Drosophila melanogaster: one gene and its partners. The protein of the gene in region 4 purifies or fractionates together with the protein of the main gene of each other region. This does not show direct contact. Each region holds a gene or a part of one and is shown on either strand. Other genes may lie near its edges.

Evidence for each region.
Region 1: the proteins of Arf4 (region 4) and deltaCOP purify together in Drosophila melanogaster (affinity purification with mass spectrometry, with the first as the bait; one study listed by BioGRID). This does not show direct contact.
Region 2: the proteins of Arf4 (region 4) and rb purify together in Drosophila melanogaster (affinity purification with mass spectrometry, with the first as the bait; one study listed by BioGRID). This does not show direct contact.
Region 3: the proteins of Arf4 (region 4) and Mcad purify together in Drosophila melanogaster (affinity purification with mass spectrometry, with the first as the bait; one large-scale study listed by BioGRID). This does not show direct contact.

What each region holds. Positions count from the first base shown.
Region 1 is NC_004354.4:1,858,468-1,863,878, forward strand, and holds deltaCOP (coat protein (coatomer) delta), read right to left. Parts: upstream 3,324-5,411; 5' UTR 3,131-3,323; coding exon 3,128-3,130; intron 3,019-3,127; coding exon 2,979-3,018; intron 2,913-2,978; coding exon 2,689-2,912; intron 2,632-2,688; coding exon 2,219-2,631; intron 2,158-2,218; coding exon 1,960-2,157; intron 1,904-1,959; coding exon 1,590-1,903; intron 1,516-1,589; coding exon 1,404-1,515; intron 1,347-1,403; coding exon 1,052-1,346; 3' UTR 674-1,051; downstream 1-673. Other genes in the region: Lamtor5 (late endosomal/lysosomal adaptor, MAPK and MTOR activator 5), read right to left, coding at 94-211, 269-330, 401-435; Gcna (germ cell nuclear acidic peptidase), read right to left, coding at 3,861-4,176, 4,236-4,493, 4,560-5,238, 5,302-5,411.
Region 2 is NC_004354.4:4,534,527-4,542,411, forward strand, and holds rb (ruby), read right to left. Parts: upstream 6,101-7,885; 5' UTR 5,780-6,100; coding exon 5,138-5,779; intron 5,078-5,137; coding exon 4,249-5,077; intron 4,184-4,248; coding exon 2,960-4,183; intron 2,906-2,959; coding exon 2,118-2,905; 3' UTR 1,109-2,117; downstream 1-1,108. Other genes in the region: CHOp24, read left to right, coding at 6,477-6,618, 6,691-7,025, 7,381-7,530.
Region 3 is NT_037436.4:7,716,944-7,722,120, forward strand, and holds Mcad (Medium-chain acyl-CoA dehydrogenase), read left to right. Parts: upstream 1-2,406; 5' UTR 2,407-2,496; coding exon 2,497-2,514; intron 2,515-2,955; exon of another isoform or gene 2,956-3,116; coding exon 3,117-3,473; exon of another isoform or gene 3,474-3,533; coding exon 3,534-4,418; 3' UTR 4,419-4,529; downstream 4,530-5,177. Other genes in the region: CG7457 (uncharacterized protein), read right to left, coding at 4,955-5,177.
Region 4 is NC_004353.4:1,121,770-1,126,177, reverse strand, and holds Arf4 (ADP ribosylation factor 4), read right to left. Parts: upstream 2,012-4,408; 5' UTR 1,914-2,011; coding exon 1,847-1,913; intron 1,743-1,846; coding exon 1,480-1,742; intron 1,411-1,479; coding exon 1,285-1,410; intron 1,229-1,284; coding exon 1,142-1,228; 3' UTR 853-1,141; downstream 1-852. UniProt on the Drosophila melanogaster protein: GTP-binding protein involved in protein trafficking; may modulate vesicle budding and uncoating within the Golgi apparatus.

The DNA of each region.
Region 1 (5,411 bases), on a different chromosome or scaffold from region 4:
AAGGTACATTCTTTAAACTATTCCGACTATTCCAAGAGTAGTCCGTATCTAGTCCACCTAGATACAGCCCCTCATATCCCTCCTCCCACTTACTTGTTTCCGCTGTAAAGGCAAATCGTTGCAGGAGCCGTGGCATTCAGCTCCAGTTTGGCCACCTGCTCGGAAATGGCCATTCCGATGCCGGACACGTTCGGATCAATGTCTCCTTTGGCTGCAAAAATGTATTGTGGCATTACGGCACGGCCACTGACTAATCATCGATACTCACTGCCCAAACACAATCCCTGGCGATTGGCCAGCAGAGCTCCCACTGTGTCCTGCCGTGCGGCGCTGAAAATACGTTATGGATTTGTGGTTTATTTGGAGTACTATCTGGAATCGACGGATCGAGTGTGCCTACATTTCCGCTAGGACTTTCTCCAGTTGCTGCTCCATGGACGACGTCGTTATTTCCGCAGTGAAAAAACAAAGCAAGAACAGAACCAAAACAATGACCAGTGTGACCGCTCGCCGAGAAGACGGCAATACCAATAAGCCGGGCGTTAAGAATCCATGCACAGTGGGTACTACTTGCAAAAAAAAGTGACTCAAATTTAATATTTAGTTTTTAGTTTAAAAAAAAGGGATAACCTTCGCTTATAGTTAAGAATCCAGAAACAATCCACTTTGGTGTATATTGTATATGGTTTATTCATAGCAATCTACATACAAATTACTCAAATCGAAGGGGTGCGACGAAGCACACAAAACAAAACACTGCAATCGCCAGTTACAACTAATTGCAATTAATTTATTTGATACCGTTATATGCAGCGCAGCGGAGTGCACAAAATTAGTTTAATTAATTGGCTTTGATGGTGTTTTTTTTTTTTTTTTTGGAATCAATTACTCGCTCTGAGAAGCTGTCTGCGCCATAAATATGTAAAGTTCGCACATGGAAAAATAATTCTCAACATGCTGCAGCAGTTGAATTAATTGCATCGCATCGGATGACCCCGGGAAATTATGTATATTTATGTACTACTTAGGTGGGCGTGGCCAGCGGCGCGGCCTACACGATCTCGTACTTTTCCACGAACAGAATGGACTCGCTTGAATACTTGACCGCCGCCTCGCTGTCCACCTGCACCACATCCTGGGCCACGACGCCCGCATACGGCGTTTTCGAGACGAAGGACACCTGCAAGGGGAAGAAGTCACCGGGAATGGAGGCACTGCAGCTGAACTCCATAGAACCGGACTTGTTGGCGGCATCGATTATTGGAATGTGCCACTGGAGCACATGCTTGCGTGAATCGTAGTTGTAGGTGCCGTCGTACTCCGCCACCGAAGGCTGCACATTCATTCTAAGGGTGAAATGGAATAAGTAATCGCCTGCACATCTACGCCATTACTACACTTACGGCAAGGGAATGACAATGGCCACGTCCTGCAGCTCTAGCTGCTGCGCCTCCAGTTCATACTCAATGTTAACATCGCATCCACCCTCTCCATTATCCGATGGCCAGCAGTTAACTGGGAAAAAGGGAGAAACACAAGCACGTGGCTGAGCGAGAGGGAAGAAGTTGTTTGGGTTTGGATGAACTTACTGGTCAGCGGGACTGCCGACTCGTCCTGCGAGACGAAGCGCCACTTGAGCACACCCACATCGGTGTTAAGGGGAAACGGCTTGCCCAAGTTCTTTAGTCCGATGGTAGTGCGCGACTTGAACAGCTCCTTGTCCACGTTGGGGTGGGTCTGCAACTGCAGGCCCTGTGTGTGGTTGGGAGACAGCTTCAGCAAAATGCGTCCGTAGGCCTCGTCCGTAATGCGCAACGTCAGGAGGCCCGAGTTCTCGAACTGCTGCACGCCACCATCGCGTCCCAGACGCACTACTAGCTTGTCCTCAATCTTCAGATGTACGCTGAAAATAGATGTTATGCATTTAATAACTAACTATACAATCGAGCTGAAACCCACCTCTCTTTGTGAATGTCCGACGCGATAGCTGCCTTGGCCGCTGCACTGGCGCTAGCTGCAGCACTGGAACCTCCAGCGGGCGCCGCCGGTGCCAGATTGGCAATCTTCTCGCCCTCGTTCTTCAGCTGATCCACGAAACTATCGACGTCCTTGGACTTGCCACCTAGCTTGAGGGCATTGCGGGAAGCTGGTTTACTGCTGATGAAATCAGAGCAATGAGTCAGGAGCCTAGATTTAATAGAGCAGAGAAAGAACTTACGCAGCCGCCTTGGATTTGGTGTCCACATCGATGGAGGTGATGCCGGTGTTGGCGCTGGAGGCACCGGAACTGCTGCTCACGCCGCTACTGCCAATTCCGTCGGCGCTAAAGCCGCCGCTGCGGCTGCCAATGCCACCCAGGGAGGGACCACCCCGTTTGCTGGCCTCCATGCGCTGCCGCTGCAGTTCCTTGGCCTTCTCGCGCATCTTCTGGCGCGCATCACGCTCCTGCGTCTGACGCACTGCCTGGTAGACCTTCTCCTCATGTGAGTCCATCTCCACGAAGGTCTTGATCTGGGCCAAGTTGACGCTCTCCCTGTAGCCGAGTGCCACGATCTCGTCAAATGCGAAGATCAGATTGAAGGCATTCTCCACAATCTCCTTCTCGTCGAGCGAGTGGCTGTACTCGGGAATCTGCAAGCGATGGGCCTGATTAACACTGCGGCTTGAGTACATCCGTGTGCAACTCACCACTTTCGAGAAGAGGCGCAGGGTCTCCAGATCCTCCAGAATGTTGCTGGCCTTAGTGGTGATGAGCAGCATATATAGTTTCTCCATCGGCTGGTAGACGTAGCGCACGGAGTCCGTCTCCACGTAAGTGTGCTGCTTGCCAGCAGTCATCAGCTTGGGAAAGGCAGCCAGCAGTCCCTCGATGCGTGCCTTCGTCATCTCGACGAACTGACGTGACAGAATCACTGCGTGTACAAACGTTACGGGTTAGCTAAAGTGATTATTTCTTGCGGTGCATGCAAGCCACTTACCTTTGCCATTCTTCGTGCAGACAGCCGCAGCAATTAATACCTGCAAGTCGGATAGGTTTAGTGATAATACCGGAATGCAATAACCCCCGCCGATGAGACCCAAAATCGCCGACGTGTAGGTGTGTGCGTGCGTAGGTCGGGGCTCTTACCATTTTGCTGCTGCGTTTGACGTTTTTGCCCTGGAAAATACTTCGCGGATCGGATGCGGACGGCGCAGGATGGACTGCTGCTACGGATCGGATTTGCGGGGCGATAGAAACGTTGTTTAACAATCAATCCCCGTAGCTGACGTGTTCGGTTCTGCGACAAATGTTTACCGTGGCTTTGTGTGAGTTCGGGTAGTGTGACCAGCGCCACTGCGGAAACACAGTGTTAATACGCCTTGGGCCAAGGTAGGAGGTAGGCCCGTGGATACCCTGCCATTTTTTTTTTTTTTTTTTGCTACTCCATCTAGAAAATTGTTGTGTCTAGCCTTAGCAAGTACACCGCACTACTCACTTTTCACCAGTGTAGAATTTAACATTTCAAGATTGTGCAAAGCAATTATTTAATAGGTTGTATTAGGCATATATTAACATACATAAACAGACATACTCTTTCACTGTAAGTAATGAGTCCAAGCATCGCCTTTACCAACACCGCCGGCCGACACCGGCTATGCAAAATCGAGCTTTACAGCACTAGCTTTTAAATGTCCGTTTAATTTTAATGGAAACCATGTTTCTGGTTAAGAAAATATATAATACATTAAACAAAATATACTACTTCTACTACTTCGCACGAACTGAGATCTCAGTTAAGTTTTTCAAATTGTCTATGATATACCAAAAATGGTTTAGGGCTTGGAGCACATAATTTAACAAAACTCAAAAGAGAACCCAGCTAGTTGGACGACTCGTCCAGTGTCAGCGTTTCCACTCGGCTGGCGATCGACGCCGCTGTCTCCTCCGCCGGCTGACCCTTCTGCTTGGCGTACTCCACGCTCAGGATGCGCATCACCTGTGCGGCAGTCATGTTGTCGCGCTTGTGTCTCTGGAAGTTGTCCTTAACGAACTTAGCAAATCCCTTCGCCTCGCCCGCCGGCGTGGATACGGTGTTTCCTTGCTTGTCCTTTTTGTTCAGGAAGAGGGTGATGGGTCCCCGGCAGATCCTGCAGCGCAAATCTTCCACCTTGCGGGATCGGGAATGGGCATGTGACCTGTGATGCGTAAAAACTGCATGACAATAATATTCTTTTTATCACTTGGGAGAACTTACGCTTTGTCGCAGCTCAGGCACTTGTAGGTATACTTGAATTCAATGCTATAGTTGTGGCAGACCTTGATCTGCGGGAGATCGGGGAACTTGTCGTTGGCTCTTTGTGCCCACATCTTCCACACCCGTCCGTGTCCACCCTCGCCATTGAATACCCAGGCCGCAGCATGGCAGAGTTCGTGTATCAAGGTGCAACGCAGGCGGTCCGCGGTAGTCAGCACTTTGACGCTCAGTTCCACCACGCTGCTACGCTGGTTAAGTCTGCAAACAATATATATTTATCGAATTCAAGGAGGATATCTGGTTGTCTCTATAAGAATCACCCACTTGCGCTTGTTCATGCACCGGCCGGCAGTGTTGCGCAGCAATTTGGACCAGGTGATGGGCACATCCAGCTCGTTGTTGAACACCTGGGCGTTATACATCTTGTAAAGATGCTGGGCCAGCTGATCCTTATTTCTTGCGAAGTTTTCCCGATAGAAGAAGGCCTCGTTGTCCGCCCTATCGCGGCTCACTTGTCCCTCCAGGGATTTCAGAAAGCCGCACTTGCCGCCGCTCGCAACGGGTGAGAGATCCTTCTGCTTCCTAGGTTTTGGAATCTGCTTAGTGGATTTTGGGGGGGTAGAAACTTTTGGCGGTGCAGATGTTTTGGGCGGAGCAGTGCCTTTAGGCGGAGCCGTTTTTGGCGTAAGCAACTTGAGAATTGGGCTCTCGTGGGGCGTTGTCTGACCTTGCTGCCCAATGCCAAGCTTCTTCTTTACCTCCTGCACTCTCCTGTGGACTGGAGTCCCGGGTAGGTAGTCGCTCTCCAGTTCATCCAGCATGTCCAGGTCCAACGCCCTGTTTACTATCTCCTTAGCTTGGTTATCGTTCTCGAATCCTGCGTTAGGGGTAAAAAGTTGGCGACGAATGTTTGGCTGCTGCACAGGAGTGGCAGGAAGTTTAGCCTTAACGCTGGCGCGACATGATCGCAGTATGTCGTCCAGGCGACGGTGACATTTTGGCGCTAGAATAATGAGTTACTAAAACATTTAAGTCAGCCATTTAAAATACTAATATCAACTCTTACACGGCGAGTCCTGGTCGGGATTGCTGATCACCTCCACCTCGTCTTTGCTCAAGTCGAGATAGGTAAGGTCGCCTCTCTTTTGCTTGTTCTCCTTGTCCTTATCACTGTCG
Region 2 (7,885 bases), on a different chromosome or scaffold from region 4:
AGACATACACACATACTGCATAAATCGATATATACATCTTGCATATACATTTAAAAGAAAGAAAACTAAACAAAACAAAAAAAAAATGGTAAAAAAAAAACTAGTTTTATATGAAGTTAAGCGAACGAAGGCCGTGGCATATTATATAACGTGTATACAGAATAGCGAAAACGAGAAGAGAACGATACTACCCCAGGACACTATATACAAACGCTCTACTATATGCCTGTCAAGAACTACTCACAACCCATTATTACAGCATACATATACCCATGCCATATTACCCAAAAATTACATTAATGCATACGTACATACTCGTACTATTCGTACATACATACATGCTATCTATCCCCTAATCATACATTATATAGCATCCCCAAAACCCTATATTTCTTCACTTATCACTCGGAACTTTCAAGCCGTTGATCTTAAAGCCTAGCCTAACCGAAAACTACAACTACTAAAACTACTACTTGAGATCTTTAAGTGCAGCAGCGAATCCAAAACTAAACTAAACATTACTAACCTAGCGATCTAACTAACTCGTTTATATTGATAAGCATGAAATTGAGCTTTTTAATTGTGCAGAACCCAAATTAGAACACAAGGAAATACAGCTACAACTACACCGACACCGACACCTAAAACACAGTTGGATTTGGAGAAAGCAGCGTAGGATTTGAGGAATGAGTTATGTATGTTCTATAACCCAGCATGTCAGTATGTCCAACCTCCTTCTATAATTTCCCACGGAGCTATTTTGAAGCAATCCCGACTTTCAAGCGACAGCAGCAGGAAATTGATACATAAATGCAGAAATCAACTCGAATTTTAAGGAATTGAACTAATTAGAATTCGATTCGATTCTTTTGCATTTGAAAGTTTGTCCTTGCTGACTTCTTATATTCTGTTTGGTGAGTGGAGAAAGTAACAAGAACAAGCGTGAATAAACATCAAAATAATTGAAAACTTTTGAAAAAAGCATTTTTACTTGACATGTGCGAGCGTGTATTAAACTTGATTCGTTTATCCAAAACAGGTAAGACGTTCTCAATTTTAAAATGTAAGCTTTTATTTCAGCTTTTCAATGCGGAGATTCAGCTTATTTGTTTCAGGCATATTAACAGATTGATTTGTTTCTTTATTAGAATACGTTTCATTTGTTCACTTTAATTTGCCAGAATTTGCGCTGTTTATTGTATGAATATAATATATAATATATAGATTCGATATTCGTTTGTCTTTGCTACGTTTTGAAGAAGGCCGCATAGAGCACGAAGGCAACAGATTTACAACATCAAACACTTTACAAATACGTTTCGATTACTCATACACACATTACACACACGCCTAGCTAAGTAGGATGGATTGGAGGATAGGATTTGTTTGGATCGGCAACGATTCGAGTTCAATCAATTGTAACATCTCATTTCATCTGGAATTGTTTGTGGTTGCAGTTTGTATATAGGAATATTAAAAGCGTTAGGATCATGTTTCATTTATATTTGGGCGGGGCGGTTGGTAATCCTTGAATAATTTTCGATTTGGATATGAAAGCTACACTAATCTCATGTTGTGTTCATCCATTCATAAAAGGAAATGGTGACTCTTTTATGCAAAATATCTCAGTATAAGCGGATACAAATATATAGGAAGTTGTGTGTTTCCCATTTCAATAAGTTTCATTAAGAATTTGCGAATGTGTATAACAATAAATATAGTTTTGTAGCATTTACACAATAGTTTGCATCACTTTTCATTCAGTTTTCAACAAGTTAAAGAATATGTAATAATTACAGTTGAAATTGCAATTTAAATTAGTTTTGGATTTCGATCCCACTTGAACACTTAAGTTGCATCTGTTACACTGCACATTTACATATAATCTCTCGAAAATGGAATTTAAAACACCTGTAATCTCAGCTAATGTTATCAGCTAATTTCAAAGATTACGTTCTCCCCGCCCGTTTACAAGTGTATAGCTAAATATGAATGCTATGTTTACGTAGTGAGGCGGCTTTGCCTTATTCTCAGTTGAGTAGCCCTGCTCCAGGGGATTCCACTCCTCAAGTTAGTTCGCTGCTCGCTTTCGTCTTGTTCGCTTTCGTGTCCATCGCTCACATGGCGAAACTGAGCTGCAGAGCATTGCGCAGCTCGTTGAGCACCATGGATCCAATGACCATTTTCTCGCAGTTTACCAGCAGCGTGAGGGCATCCTCTGTTTTCCAATCGAGGGTGAGTAGCACGAGGCTTTTGGAGCTCAGGGTTTGGCCGGCGAAACAGTGTAGCTGACCGCTGGAAGAGCTGTGCGTATGCGCCACGTTGATGGACTCGAAAACCTTTTGCCGCAATGCGACCACATCGATTAGGTCCTGCCTCAGGCCACGCAACTCGCACTGATGCTCATTCATTCCACGCAGCTTGGCCCGCTCCTCGCGATGACAGCTCTCGCCGATCTGGACGGATCTCACCAGCTCGCCCACCGGCGGTTTCAATTGCAGTCGTGAACTGCCCGCACTTGACAGAAGCTCCAGGTCTACAGCATGCGTCGAATCATTGAAATCGACGCCCAGCACACCACTCGCTGTTTGTTGGGGCTGGAGAACAGTGATTGGCGCAAACTCATTCAATTGCATGCCCGCCGGCAGAGTTGTTTGCCCGAGACGAATGGCCGTAATCTCTTTTTCGCCACGATTCTGGAACTGCAGCTCAATGGAGCACATGCTCGAGGAGTACAGATGCGGGGAGCGGGTGAAACGGTAGGCCAAATGCAGTCCATGGCCACTGACCTTGTTAAGCAGCTCCTTGTGCTTGAACTCGATGTGCGAGGGACCCACCAATTCCACCCGATTGCGGGCGTGCTGCGGCTGCAGTGGCGCCGCCTGTCCAGCCATCATTGGTGTGCCTATTGAAGAATTATTATATAAAGAGGCCAATTTAGAGATGCGCATCACCTTACCAGGCGTCAGGAATCCTCCCAACGAGGGCGTCATCACGGGACCAATGGGCGGAATGTCATCCAGATCGAGTAGCAGGTCCAGATTGCTCTTGACAGCCGTTTGCTCCGGCTGTTTCTCGTGCTTCTCTTTCAACTTCTCCGGCTTTGTGCCTGTGTCCGTTTTCGTTTCGTTCTTTTTCACTTCATTATCGCTACCGGAAGCGCTGTCATCACTACTACTGCCACTGTACGCTGATGAATCCTCGCTGTCCGATGTTCCTGACGAACCTCTCGCATTGTTATTGTTGTTTATAGTTGCTTTTACAGGCGAAGAAGTAGCGGCCAGCTCATTGCTTCCAGCATCGATAAGCCGCTCCTTCACCGAGGAAACCTTGGTCGGCTGCTGCTTTTGCACCTCCTCCTCCTCCTCATCGCTGCTCCCGCTGCCATCGCTATCGGATTCACTGTCGCTGGTGCCACTGCCACTGCTGCTGCCTGATTCCGAGTAAGCGGAAGACTTGTCGTCCGACTCAGAGAGGAAGCCCTTCTCGCCACCAGCACCCTTTTCCTTACCGCCTTCACGGCCGGATTTATCCTTTGAATGTCCGGATGGCGAGTCTTCACCCGGCAGCTTGTCCTGCATAAATCCAGCTATATTGCGTACCGATGAATCCGGTGGAATCACCGGAAAGGCGGGCAGTTCCTTGTAGCCAGCCGCTGGCATGTTCAGGTAGTGAGACAACGATCCTAACTGGAAGTTATTGCCATCCCGGTATTTACTCTCCGGCACCGGAGCCGGTTTGCTGGCGAGAAATACTTGGCGGGCATGCTGGCTGAGCACCGAGCTCGTTCCGCTCGCCGGAAAGATGATTTGCCGCAGAAAACGGGCACGATCGCGTACATCGTAGTTGGGATCATAGCGAGCCAGCGTAAAGACGTACTGACACAGCAACGATGTCTGCTCCGGATTGGTCAGATAGAGCTTAACGCCTAAGTTTAGGACCTGCAGCTTCACCACATCCTGCTCATCGACAAACGATTTGGCCATTTTGCGCAGCACATCCGGGGCAATCAGCGGCACCTTCTCGTTGTATTCGCCTATAAGCCAAATGATGGCTGCCCTAGCTGCGGGCACATTGATATAATCGATCAGTTTGGCCATTTGGGTGATAATCTCAAAGTGCTCGGCGGCTTTCGTTTGCAGAAGACGCTTAATCACCACCACGCTCTCGGCCACCACGTGTTCTAAATGGAATAACGGAATACTTATAAAATTAAAATACAAATGGCTAAAAGAAAGCTTAACGCACCGTCATGATTGGACAGCAGATGAACCAGGCCACTCAAGCAGGTCTCGGTAACCTCCTTAATGCTAGATGCACATCGTCCAATGGCCTGAATCGTGGCCGCCACAAACGAACGATCGCTGCTGGAGATGTAGGTTTGAAATTCGCGCAGAATGAGCGAAATACTGCCCGCCGAGGCCAGATTGGTGAGAATATCCAGCTTGAGAAGCTTTATGTGCGTGGGATCGCTGGTGCGCACAAAGAACGACTTGAGGTGCGGCTCAAAGATCGCCTTTCGTTTGGTGGACATCGAGGCAATGCAATTGAGGACCACGCTCTGAACCTCCTTATGCGATCGCAGCAGTCGTATCAGCGCCTTGGCAATCAATTGCACTTCGTTCTTGGGAGCCACATGATGATAGAGCTGCGCCACTGCCATCACCACGGAGGCATTTCGCGATTGGAGCAATGGTTTCGTTTGCCTCAACAGCAGGCGGTGATCCACATCGATGTGGTAGCTGTTGCTCGGAGAACTGGGTGTTCTACTGCCATTTCCTCCGCCATTGTTTTTATTGTTCGTACTCGACTTGTTTTTTTCGTCATCGCTACTGCCATCATCGCTGTGGGAAGAGGAGTGCGAGGATTCGTCGTAGAAGCGTTCACTAACGGGCGTTTCGCCCAGGCCATCGTTGACCAGATCCTCATCATCCGCATTGGGATCAACGAACTGAGTGCGCGCATAGCGGGTCAACATATTAATGATGATCACCTGACCCCATTCGTCCACATCCAGCAGGAAATTGCACAGCTTGCGGTAGTTCTTGTGTATCAAATCTACACGTTCCGGACAAACCTACGAATAAAGATCCGTCGTATATAGAGGATAAATGTTTTACTTTAGCTGCAGACCCACCTCGTCGAAGGCCATCACCGCTGATCCCACCACTAGAGTAGTGCGATCCGATAAAAGCTTCTCAATGACCATGACCAGTTCATCCTTTTGATCCGCGTCCAGAGAATACAACTTGGGGATGGCATGTGCCGCTGTTTTCCGCACATATGGACTCAAATCGGCGGCGCTATCCCGAATGGCCAGCATTACGATTGGCACAATCATGCTGACCCTTATGGAGGATAACACTCGCAGAGCCGAGGCGCGAATAAGTTGATTGGGATCCTTGAGCGCCCTCTGAAATGTGGAAATGGATAGCAGGGCCAAGTCCTGCTGCTCCTCGGCGTATCGCACCAAATAGACGTAGACCAACTTCTTGACCTCGATATTCTTGGACACCACATTCTTGACGACTGCCGGGAACAGATCACTGGCATCCCGTCCGCGGGCAATCATGCCAATGATGCGCTTCATGGCCTCCAGCTTTAGTCCATCCTTGTTGCTGTCCAACATTTGCTTGAGATCATCATGCTTGCGTCCATCGGATTGGAAGAAAGCTGCTCCGCTGGCAGGATCCGCTCCGAATTCGACGTCCAGTCCCATTTGGGGCCGCTCCACATATGTGGACATGGCGAAGGGATTGCTGGCCGAGTTCTGCTGCATTCTTGCAAAGATTCCCCCGGATTACCCAGATTTCGGTTGACCACTTGACCTTTTACTTTCCGTGCTGATGATTTTTTTTTTCCTTTTTTTTTGTGTGTGGGAGTTGGCAGTTTTCCCTTTCGGTTTTTGCAAATGCGTCCAATGTGAAACCTTTGTTCCTGATGTTGAATCCTCAAGACGATCTGGTGGTCAGCTGCTCGTCCTGCCACGCAGCTTGCAAGTTTTGCAAGGGATACTATTATTTATGCCGAAATTCTGGCCAATTTTTGCATTTTTTTTTTTAGCTTTCTGTTTCCTAATGGTGGGCAACTGTCGATAGTCGCCGATTAACACATAGCACAAAAATACTAGAACACTTTAACTAACTGTGATGGAATGCACCAAGAGTTTTTCATATAGGTACGCACATAAATAAAGTAATGTATTAGTTACGATATCCAATACTTTAACCGAAACATTTCGCGGCATTCATGTTGCTTTTGAATTTTTATGAGTTGTGAGTTTTTTGTAGTGATCCGTTAAAAATTCGGTATCGCGTGTCGCGTGCACCTATCGATGCCGAATCTATCGGAAACTGCTGTTCTTCGATATGCCCTATTTGTCTACATCTATCGGAGTATATCGAATCGACTACAACTACGTGGCTGCAGTGCGTTTAATAGCGATTAAAACCAGGCCAAAAGTACTAAGACAAACGATGGAATCGACACTCGCCAAGGTGCTGCTCCTTGTGGGCAGCCTGCTGATCCTGTGCCGCACCAGCCACGCCTTCATCGTCAGCGTGGACGCCCACAATGAGGAGTGCTTCTTCGAGAACGTCGAAGGCGGCACCAAGTTTGGTACGTGAGCGATATGGATTTTCGGTCAATTGACAAGGGATCTATGCTGATAAAATGATGGTGACTTTACAGGCGTCACCTTCGAGGTGATCGACGGTGGCTTCCTAGACGTGGACATCAAGATCAGCGGCCCGGATAACCATGTGATGCACGAGAGCGAAAAGGAGTCGTCCGGCAAGTACACCTTTGTGGCCCCCGCCAAGGGAACCTACACCGTGTGCTTCAACAACGAACGCAGCAGCATGACCCCCAAGCTGGTCATGTTCTCCATCGACGTGGGTGACGCACCGCAACGTGCGCCCGGAGCACCCGGCGAGGAGGAGGTGGGCCACACCAAGCTGGAGGACATGATTCGGGAGCTCTCCGGCACGCTGACCAGTGTCAAGCACGAACAGGAGTACATGCATGTGAGTGAAGAGACGAGGTGAAGATGGAGCATCCAGCTGCCACATAATCATGATTGGGGGTTTTGGAAGAGTTTAACATGTAGCAGAATTAGGGGTACATGGAATATGGGAGCAATCGAGTAACTATTGCCACATAGTCTGGCATGCCTCCAGCATTACTTGTACAGATCCACGTCGCAAGATTTAAGAGCGGAGTCGGTAGACTTGTTCGAGGGAATGGAGCTGCTAGCTGCCACATAAACAATAACTAGTAGCGATTTTCAAACACTCATGTTTTCACCATCGGTTATAATCAGTATTGACATTATTTGTGAAGTAATCCACGACTAATCCTCCAATTTCTTTACTCCCTCAGGTGCGCGACAAGATCCATCGTTCGGTGAACGAGAACACCAACTCGCGAGTGGTGCTGTGGTCCACCTTCGAAGCCCTCGTCCTGGTCCTGATGACAGTGGGCCAGGTGTACTACCTGAAACGCTTCTTCGAGGTCAAGCGCGTCGTGTAATCCCGAGCGGAAAACCAGGATGGAAGTAGCAAAGGAAGGCGGCACACGAAGCTCTGGGGGAAATGTGTGCGCAATGCGTTGCAGTCTCAGATTTAATTTAAATGATTAACATCCTTTTGTAATTTAAATAAAATACCTTGTAAAAAGTAATTAGTGCTTGAAAGTATGTCGATCATGTTTCTGTTTCGAGAATTATTAACAGAGATTGCTATATTAGAGAAATTAATATATATATTTTTTTTTAATTACCAAATATCTCTTAATGGAAACAGAACAGCAAATATTTTCAGACACACATTCAAGGGGGGAAGAGACACTTGTGAACTTTCGAACTAAATTGATAAGAACCATTTGT
Region 3 (5,177 bases), on a different chromosome or scaffold from region 4:
TTAAGTGAAGAAAGGATGATACATCCCATAGAAAAACTAAAAGTCCTTTGATATCAAATTGAATTAAAAACTTAAGTTACTTTAACCAGTTGATATGTGACCTTAAAATGTACTTCAGCATGTACTTTCTAGAAGATGAAAAAGGGATATGCCAGGCCTAATTATAACCCAACAGATACATACCCAACGTTGGCTGACTTACAGCTTTAAACCTTTAAGTGGATAAACATGGATATCGTAGGATTGTGAAAACTTGTTAAAGTCATTTAAACTTTATGGACTGCAACCCACTCCTTAGGCAATTGGGTGTGACCTCTAACTTTGTCCCCTGGAGTTCTGATCACGTGACCATCTGTATTAAAGGGAACCAACCCATTCCCCAGATCCCAATCCAATGATGTAATCCTAGGCAGGACAACTCACCGCACTCTGGTGTCCTGTGGGGCAGTGCTCGTGCTTGTTGGGATGGTGGTGGGTCTGTTGCTTGTGGCTGGCACCACCGTTTGCTCCTTCATGGTGGAAGATCTGCTCGTGCTGATGCTGGAAGTACTCGTAGTGACCGACATGATCCGGATGGTGTTCCGTTGGCGGTGAATGGATCCTCGACGGTGGGCTGTGGTGCTGTCCCTTGGCGGCGTGGCCGGAGGTGGTGCTATGATGCGCTGCCTGCTTCTGTGAATGGCCACCTGCTCCTCCATGATGACCACCGCTGCTGGTATGATGACCATGTCCGTGGGCATGATGGTGATTGTGGGTTGGCGGCGAGGGCATGTTGTGGCCGCTGTGGGGCAGATGCGACGAGTGCTGCACACCCACCTGATGTCCGTGGTGGTGAGGAACATGACCTTGGGACGCCTCCATCAGCGTTGGCTGGATGTGGGTCACAAACTGGGCCATTTTGCCGCAACCTTCAACTACTGCTCCCTTTTTGTTGTGGTTTCTTTGAGGTTTGGGCTTAGGTAACACTTGTTTAAAATTTCACTCCTCTATGAGGCGGTTTTTTTTTTTGGGAAGGCGGGGGTGGCACTTTTATATGTATCCCAAAAGTGGGAGTGGGTAGCACAAAAAAACACACACTACGGCTGGCTTGCGGACGAGTTGTGGGCGACGGAGGATTTGGGCTCGGACCGTGGACAACCTTCTCGCAGGAGCAATGTCAAATGACTGACTAGGAGCAGCTATCCCAGTTGGGCCTTAGACGCCACAGGACTCGCCACCCGCCATCGCACCACCCGAACCACTTCGGCTCCAGCTCGGCTGTGCGCGTTCGTCCTCGTCGTGGCGGAAGAGCTTTAACCGGACCCAGTTTTATGCGCCTGGCCTGGCTGATAAGAGATACCACTCGCTTCAACGGCTGATTACGACTTTGGATGGCTGCGGATGCTGATTTAATGATGTCTTCGTGCCGCGCCACGTAGTGCTCTGTTTTTTATATCTGCCTGTCAACTGTGTCACGGATTTCCAATTCGTTTCGCTGGAGATTTTTTTGTCGCTGGGAGGCGGGGCTGCAATCTGTTATTTTTAAAACAGCCAGAGGAACATGTTCCGTCTATTTGTGTCAAGCGGGAAAGTATGCTCCGATTGTTAAGCACCTAACAGGTGGCAGCGAAGTCTAACGACTAGGGACTATCCTGTTGGTTCTTATTTTATTATTTAACATATCAAATCATGTTTTAAATGTTTTGAATATGGAAAAATGGGGTTAAAAAGTTAAAGCGAATGAAACCTATAATTATCTAATTGTCTCTACATTTTATTCTAAACTAACCAAAATATAGTATATTACTATTTAATATGAATTATCCCTCAATGACCTCTGCCGACGAACATTTTCAAGCCTAATATACCCGATTGTATTATTTTATACCTATTGCCCAGAAGCAATACGTTACGTTGTGAACTGAAAGCTTTTACCTTACGTAGATTGCTGGGCATTACGTTAAAGCTATGTTTTATTAAGCTTATTTCGTAGGGTATTTCGTGTGGTACATTGATATCTTAAAAAAGGGGGTGTGTCTCTTCATACACATATGCCTATGTACTTGACAAAACCTGGATGAAATGTACAGTTGGTATTTTAAAAATATTTTACAATACAATTTATTTATATAAGCATTATATTACAATTAAGGCGAGGTACAAACAAATTTGTTAACTCTTCGAAAAGCTTTGGGAAAGTTCCATCAACAGCGCATACAAATGTCTGCGAAATCTTCCCTTATCTCAACCTCCTGCATATATTTGTAGGTGCATATGCTTGTAGTTCGTTCGTCACCACGATTCTGTAGCTTTTGCGACTGCCAGCGCAACAAGGTCCAATGTCCAAGCGTCGCTGCCATATCGCGATGAACCAATGTACATATGTATGTACATATATAACATCGCTATACCGGCGCATCGGCAACTCGTTTGGATCATTTCGCTGGCAGCCACCGACGAGTTAGCAAGGCGACCTAGTTAAAACTCAGGAAAATACGAAAATAAACCCACATTCAAATGGCGTTCCTCAACAAGGTGAGCATATCAGTCAATTTACAACGCAGAGAAAGTGAAAAACACATCGCTGGGACATATCATATCCAAAGGTCCAAAGTTCTATCACGCTAGTGACGACAGCAACTGTTGATCGTAGGATCATACATACATATACATATGTACCTACCAACAAACATATATTCGAGTGGGTTCCGTTTCGAAAACAATTTGTTGCTGCCTATCTGTTAGCAATCATCTGTACTTTGCCCCCCCTGAGAAAGTATTATTAGCGGCGTCTAATGGCGGCTTATCGTGCACTCTATTTAAATCGGAATGCAAACTTTATGGGCAGGCATATTCGTTATCTGTTTTATGAAAAAAATAGAATGTGATGGTTGGTTATGAACCTCAAACATCCAAAGTCCCTTGTAAATATAAAAAAAACCTTCGTCTATGATCATGATGTTGTATTAATTAAATACATACGTAGTTGGCCCATTTTATTTGTTGCTTGTAGTTAAGATTAATTCGCGGTCAACTTTGTTGTTGTTCTGATTATTTCTACATTTTCATTTTGCATTTCGATAAACACTTGTTTACCAGTTGACTTTAAATCCGATATCCAATATCCGAAAATCCAGCTTGCTGCGCCTGCCCTGCGCCAGTTGGTGTCCCAAAGTCGCGCCTACGCCGCCGTGTCACACGTTTCGCCCAATGGCACCTCTTTCGCACTCACCGAGGATCAGCTGCAGCTGCAGGAACTGGCACGTAAGTTCACCCGTGAGGAGATCATCCCGGTGGCCGCCCAGTACGACAAGAGCGGCGAGTACCCGTGGCCCATCATCAAGAAGGCCTGGGAACTGGGCCTGATGAACAACCACATTCCTGCTGATATTGGTGGCCTGGATCTCGATGTGTTCACCACCTGCTTGTCGGCCGAGGAGTTGGCCTATGGCTGCACTGGCATCATGACCGCCTTAGAGGCTAGTGGTCTGGGCGTAAGTTTAAAGTCATGTCTATTTACGGCAAGATGATCGAAACGCCACGTTCTTTCATAGCAAACTCCTGTGATCCTGTCCGGTAACAAGGAACAGAAGAAAAAGTACCTGGGCCGCCTGCTGGAGGAGCCACTTGTCGCCGCCTATTGTGTTACAGAGCCCGGAGCAGGATCCGATGTGTCCGGCATCAAGACACGCGCCGAGAAGAAGGGTGATGAGTGGGTAATCAACGGCCAGAAGATGTGGATCACCAACGGTGGTGTGGCGAACTGGTACTTTGTGCTGGCCCGCACCAATCCGGATCCCAAGTGCCCGCCCAGCAAGGCCTTCACCGGGTTCATTGTGGAGCGCGACAGTCCCGGACTAACGCCCGGCCGCAAGGAGTTGAACATGGGACAGCGCGCCTCCGACACGCGTGGCATCACCTTCGAGGATGTGCGCGTGCCCAAGGAAAATGTGCTGATTGGCGAGGGTGCCGGTTTCAAAATTGCCATGGGCACCTTTGATAAGACGCGTCCTCCAGTTGCTGCCGGAGCTGTGGGTTTGGCCCAGCGTTGCTTGGATGAGGCTCTTAAATACGCGCTGGAACGCAAGACCTTTGGCGTGCCCATCGCTTACCACCAGGCTGTGCAGTTCATGCTGGCTGATATGGCCATCGGTGTGGAGACATCCCGTCTGGCGTGGCGTCTCTCCGCCTGGGAAATCGACCAGGGACGCCGCAACAGCTACTATGCCTCCATTGCCAAGTGCCATGCCGCCGATATGGCCAACAAGATTGCCTCCGATGCCGTCCAGATCTTTGGAGGCAACGGCTTCAACAGCGAGTATCCCGTGGAGAAGCTGATGCGTGATGCCAAGATCTACCAAATCTACGAAGGTACTTCTCAGATCCAGCGCCTCATCATTTCCCGAAACATGTACGAGGCTGCTAAGGGTCAAGCCTAAGTCAGTTTTAACTAGGATTCCTCATCTCCATTCACCTCATCAGTTGTCATGCTCATTGTAGACACATTCACAAATCCGATTAATAAAGTACAATAAGTAAATAATTACAAGAAAATATAAATCATTGATTGTGATTTGTCTGTTGAGGGAAATGTTGTATAAATGGCACTTGGTAATTTCTAAGGAATTACTTATTCCTCAAGTGTATAAAAGGAAGGAAGAAGTAAGCAAACAGTCAGTGCGTTAGTATGTTTACTAATTCTTAATATTTCAAGTTTCTCTAATCTTGCCCTCACTTACCCCCAAAATTGTAGAGTCTAGACCATCGCAAATTATTTCGCTAGCTATCATCCATTGATAAGATAAGCCCTGTGGGGGCTGAGTGTTTGTTCTACTTAGGTTCAACGAATCGCTGTTCTGCTATCAACTGAACGATAAGACTTACTGTACTTAGATTTGCTATATAATTGTCAAACAATAAAAAATGCTCTGGGACATACAACACAAGGAAATGGTTTACACATGATGAGACTACACTATTCCGCATCGCTTCCATCAGCGAGTAGCTTAAGTAGACCTTTGTACCGCCTTCCAATTTTCCGGCTATTTGATGTGGTCAACATTTTGGCCTTGTCTCCAAATTGCAGCTGCCAAATGGACTGAAGTGTTTCCAGGGCTCCTGGCATGGAGAACACCTGCTCATCAACTGTTAATTCTAAGCGCCTGGGCAGCTGCTTTAGTTGTTCGAGTTTTTGCAGA
Region 4 (4,408 bases):
AGAAGCGTTTCCGAACATCCAGCCGAGTCGATCTGGCCAAAGCTATTAGTGTCTTTGATCCGGCCATGGATATCTAGACACCTCACGAACTATAAAAGCTAGAAGATTAAGATTAAGCATACAGATTCTAGAGACATAGACGCAGCGCAAGTTTGTTGGCCGATGTTGCCAAGCCAATTTTGACGCAAACAAACTGGCCAAAACTGTCCACACTTTTGAAATATGTTTTGATATTTTTATTAGTCTTGTAAATTTCTATCGATTTGCCAAAAAAAATTTTGGCCACTCGCACTCTAACGCAATAAAACCACCCAAAACGGCCTCGACCACATTTTTAAAAAACTTTCGATATTTTTTCATAGTTTTATATTTTGTCGAATTCTTTCTCGAATTCCACGAGAATCAGATACCATTTACTCAGCAGGAAGTGTGAAAGATTTCAATAAGAATAACCAATTTTTTAAGAATGTTCGGCATGTTTGAGCGATTTTGGGTGGGGGGTTTTGGGGATTTTGGGTTACAAGACTAATAAAAATATTTTAAAATATCAAAAGTTTTCTCTCCGTAAATACCTCTGGAAGCTGCATGTCTAATCTCAATTCTCTACCTTTAATAGTTCTCTTCATACGGACATAGAATCTGCATGTCTAATCTCAATTCCCTACCTTTAATAGTTCCTGAGACCGAGGCGTTCATACGGACATGCCCAGATCAACTCGGATATTGGTCCTGATCAGGAATATATATTCTTTCTAAGGTCGGAAACGCTTCTGCTAACAGTTACGTAGTTTTCAACAAATCTGGTGGCTATTAAAAACTGAATTAACATAAATGAGTACGAATCAAAAATATGTTTATTTGATTGAATTCTGGTAATGGTATTGAGGCATACTAATAAAAAAACGAACATATATTTTCCCGAATAAGTAAGTTAAAAATATATTTTTATTAGTTATCCGATCACTAATTTTTAAAAATACAACTAAGGCAAGTGCAGTTTTCTCACCAACACATAAAACGTGGACATTTTAAATTTACAACAAAGTTCCAAACGAGTTTATATACATTTACAAGTTTATTTAAAATCTAGTTTTCAGCATACGAGAACAGCAATTCCTATCTTACAATATAAGGAATATTTTTATTTTTTAGCCAATTCAGCTGATAGCCAATCAAGTCCTTCATAAAGACCGTGCCCTTGGGTAGCACATGTAGACTGAATAAACCACTAAAAATGGGTAGATATAAGTAAACATTTTTGGGACAATTACCCCTAAGACATACGTGGCGATTCCTTAATTGGTTAAGGCGCAACTTGTCCGTAAGCTCGGCAGCTGTCATTGCATTCGGTAGGTCCTGTTTGTTGGCAAAAACCAAAAGTACCGCGTCCCTAAGTTCATCCTCCTGGAGCTGTGGGAAAAATAAACATGGAATTGGTTGACACGTATGTATATACTTTTAATTAAATAAAATGAGTACCATGTTCTGTAGTTCTCTTTCAGCTTCAGTTATACGATCGCGGTCGTTGGAATCCACTACAAATATAAGACCCTGTGTATTTTGGAAATAGTGTCGCCACAACGGGCGAATTTTGTCTTGGCCACCAACATCCCAAACGGTAAAACATATATTCTTATATTCCACAGTCTCGACATTGAAGCCTATGGTTGGTATGGTGGTTACAATTTCACCCAGCTTTAATTTGTACAGAATAGTCGTTTTTCCAGCAGCATCCAAGCCAACTGCGTACAAAAATATTTAAAATTATGTGCACGTTGATTGCAAGTACTTAAAAATTATGCGCGAACTAAAGGCTTATATTTAGTGTATCGTATTTTGAACATACCCATAAGAATACGCATTTGTTTTTTTCCAAACAAACGTGTCAAAAGACTAGATATTGTTAGTCCCATGTTTAATAAGAAACTATTTTATTTCGTATAGGAAAAAGCTTGTCTTCAGTAACTTCAGTAAATTGACGTGTAAACTAGTCATTCGATTAATAATGCTGTACTTTTCAGAAAAGTTAAACGATGGTTAAAAATACTGTTTTCTATAAAATACTAATAACAGTATGTTGACTATACCCTAAGCATGGTCTGATGAAAACAATAAAAAGAAACACAAAACTACATCGATAATACAATGTTTTGACTGCGCCATTAAGTCGAATGTCGATAAAACCATTTTCGTGTACATTTTTTAAGTGAAATATTTAAATTGACCTAGAAAGGCTGCCCCCAAGGGGTTAGTGAGCATATAACTTAGACTCGGAGTTACACAATTTTTAAAAATCACAACTGTTTTTTACGAATGTGCTCTGTAGGACTATGGTATTATTCGCGAATTCTAATTGCCAAAACAACTTTTTCAAATCAAATTTAAAAATCAAATTTAAAAACGATGTTACAAATTTTTCAAACACTATAAAGCTGCCTGAAAACAAAAAACTTAGGTTCTTCCTCTCTATTAACCAAAAATTAAGACATTTTTATTAATCAAAGGTCTGCTATTGCCAATATGTCGATATCAGGCCAAGATAAATGACAATCACTATATTTTGGTTGCGATTTGCAATAGTTAACAACATAAATATTCTGCCTCTGATCAAAAATAAAAAAAAAATGTTGAGTCTTGGGATATCAAGGAATCAAAATATCTATATATGAAAATATCCTACCCAAAAATTCCAGTCATTTGTAAATCAAAACAGCGTAAGCACCCCTTAACTTTCCTTTTAAACAAACCATGGTATCACTTAAAATTCGATTAAAATGTTAGAGCATAGTCTCCACAGGGCCTTATATGTTGTTTTTTTTAATCACTTTTCAAGTATTAACCACTTCCACACAAGGATCTGAAAATGTCGGATAAACGTTTCCAGTGTATTGACTTCTGTATTTAAACTTACAACTAGTTTTTCAAACGTCACAAGTAATTATTTTGCTGACAAAAGTAAGAAACTATGTAATGAAACAAAAAAAATTATTTTCTGAGATTTTGTTAATGTGCCCCGTCTAATTAACTTGTACTATTTCATATTTGAGTCGATTTAAATCTATGCATATGTAAAAGTTATAATCAAAGTATTTAGGTTACGCATGATTCCCTTCGGATAGGTTCGCTATTCGTTCAGTTAGGCAATCCAAGTTCATTACAGAATGTGTATCTCTTGGATACAACACATACACAAGATTTTCTCATCCATGCATATTCATATATACTAATGTAATACATATATGTAATCCAACAATCAGTTTCACTGTGGTACATTTTATAATGTTTAATCATATATAGTCACGGGAACTAGAGTTTATACACGGTCCTCGAATAAAATGTGTTTTGGAGCTGTAAGCTAATCAACAAAAAATGAGACTAACTAAAAAAAAGTGCTACTAAAATTCCCAGACTTTCCACTTTCTGTCCTACATATATATAATTAAAGAAAATCCGAACCAATTTGAATAACTTATCTATTTTATTCTAACACCAACAACAACTTTAAAAAGTTTTTGATTTAACGTAAAAAATTGGCCGTAATTCTTGTTGCTTTGGTTACATTCTTTCTATTGTATTGTACCAACGAAAAAAGTAGAGAAGCACCGAGACGGTAGTGGAATTATTCCGGAACACTTTCGATACTCTTTTTCGAGTGGAAGTGGTTTCATGAGGAGGAAATTTGGTGTTCCTTTTTGCCGGGCTCTTTCATACTTCCCGTGCTGTAGGAACTCCGTGAAAAGCTTCTGTAAGCATTCCCTAAATGTCTTCTGGATATATTCCGAGACTATATTACAATACTTTCGTAAACATTACTCAGGATTGTTTTCTAGATACTTTCCAGAATAAATTATCAGGAAAATTTATATTGAGTGCTTTGAAAGAAGAAGTGTTTCCAAAGTATAAAACAAAATCTCGGCTTAACCAATATTTAATTTTTTATTATTATGAACTGAACTCTGTAATACTTCTTTTCCTTGAACGTTTCTTTTTCTCTCAAAATTCATTCATTGTTTATCCTTTCATAAGAGCCCTTGAAGCGCAAGACTGTGTAATCTTAAAAAAATGTTCAGAAATAAATATAATTTTATGTGTCTGCAAAAAATTTATTAAGCAACAAAAAAATTTGTCGAATTTCGTTTTCGCGTTTTCAACATATTGTATAAAAACTGCGAAAGGGTGTAGGGCCTACACACGACAAAACTTTGTCTTATTTTACCACGTATTAGAAAGAAAAACTACTCTAAAGTCGAATGTGTCATCACAGAGTATAAAATTGCAATGTATTATATTATTATTATTTTTATCTTAAAGAACGGAAAATAAACATCTACTAGGTACATGATTTTTAAAGATTTATTGATACGAGTTTTGGGAAAATATAAAATATAATCTTCAATATATACACATA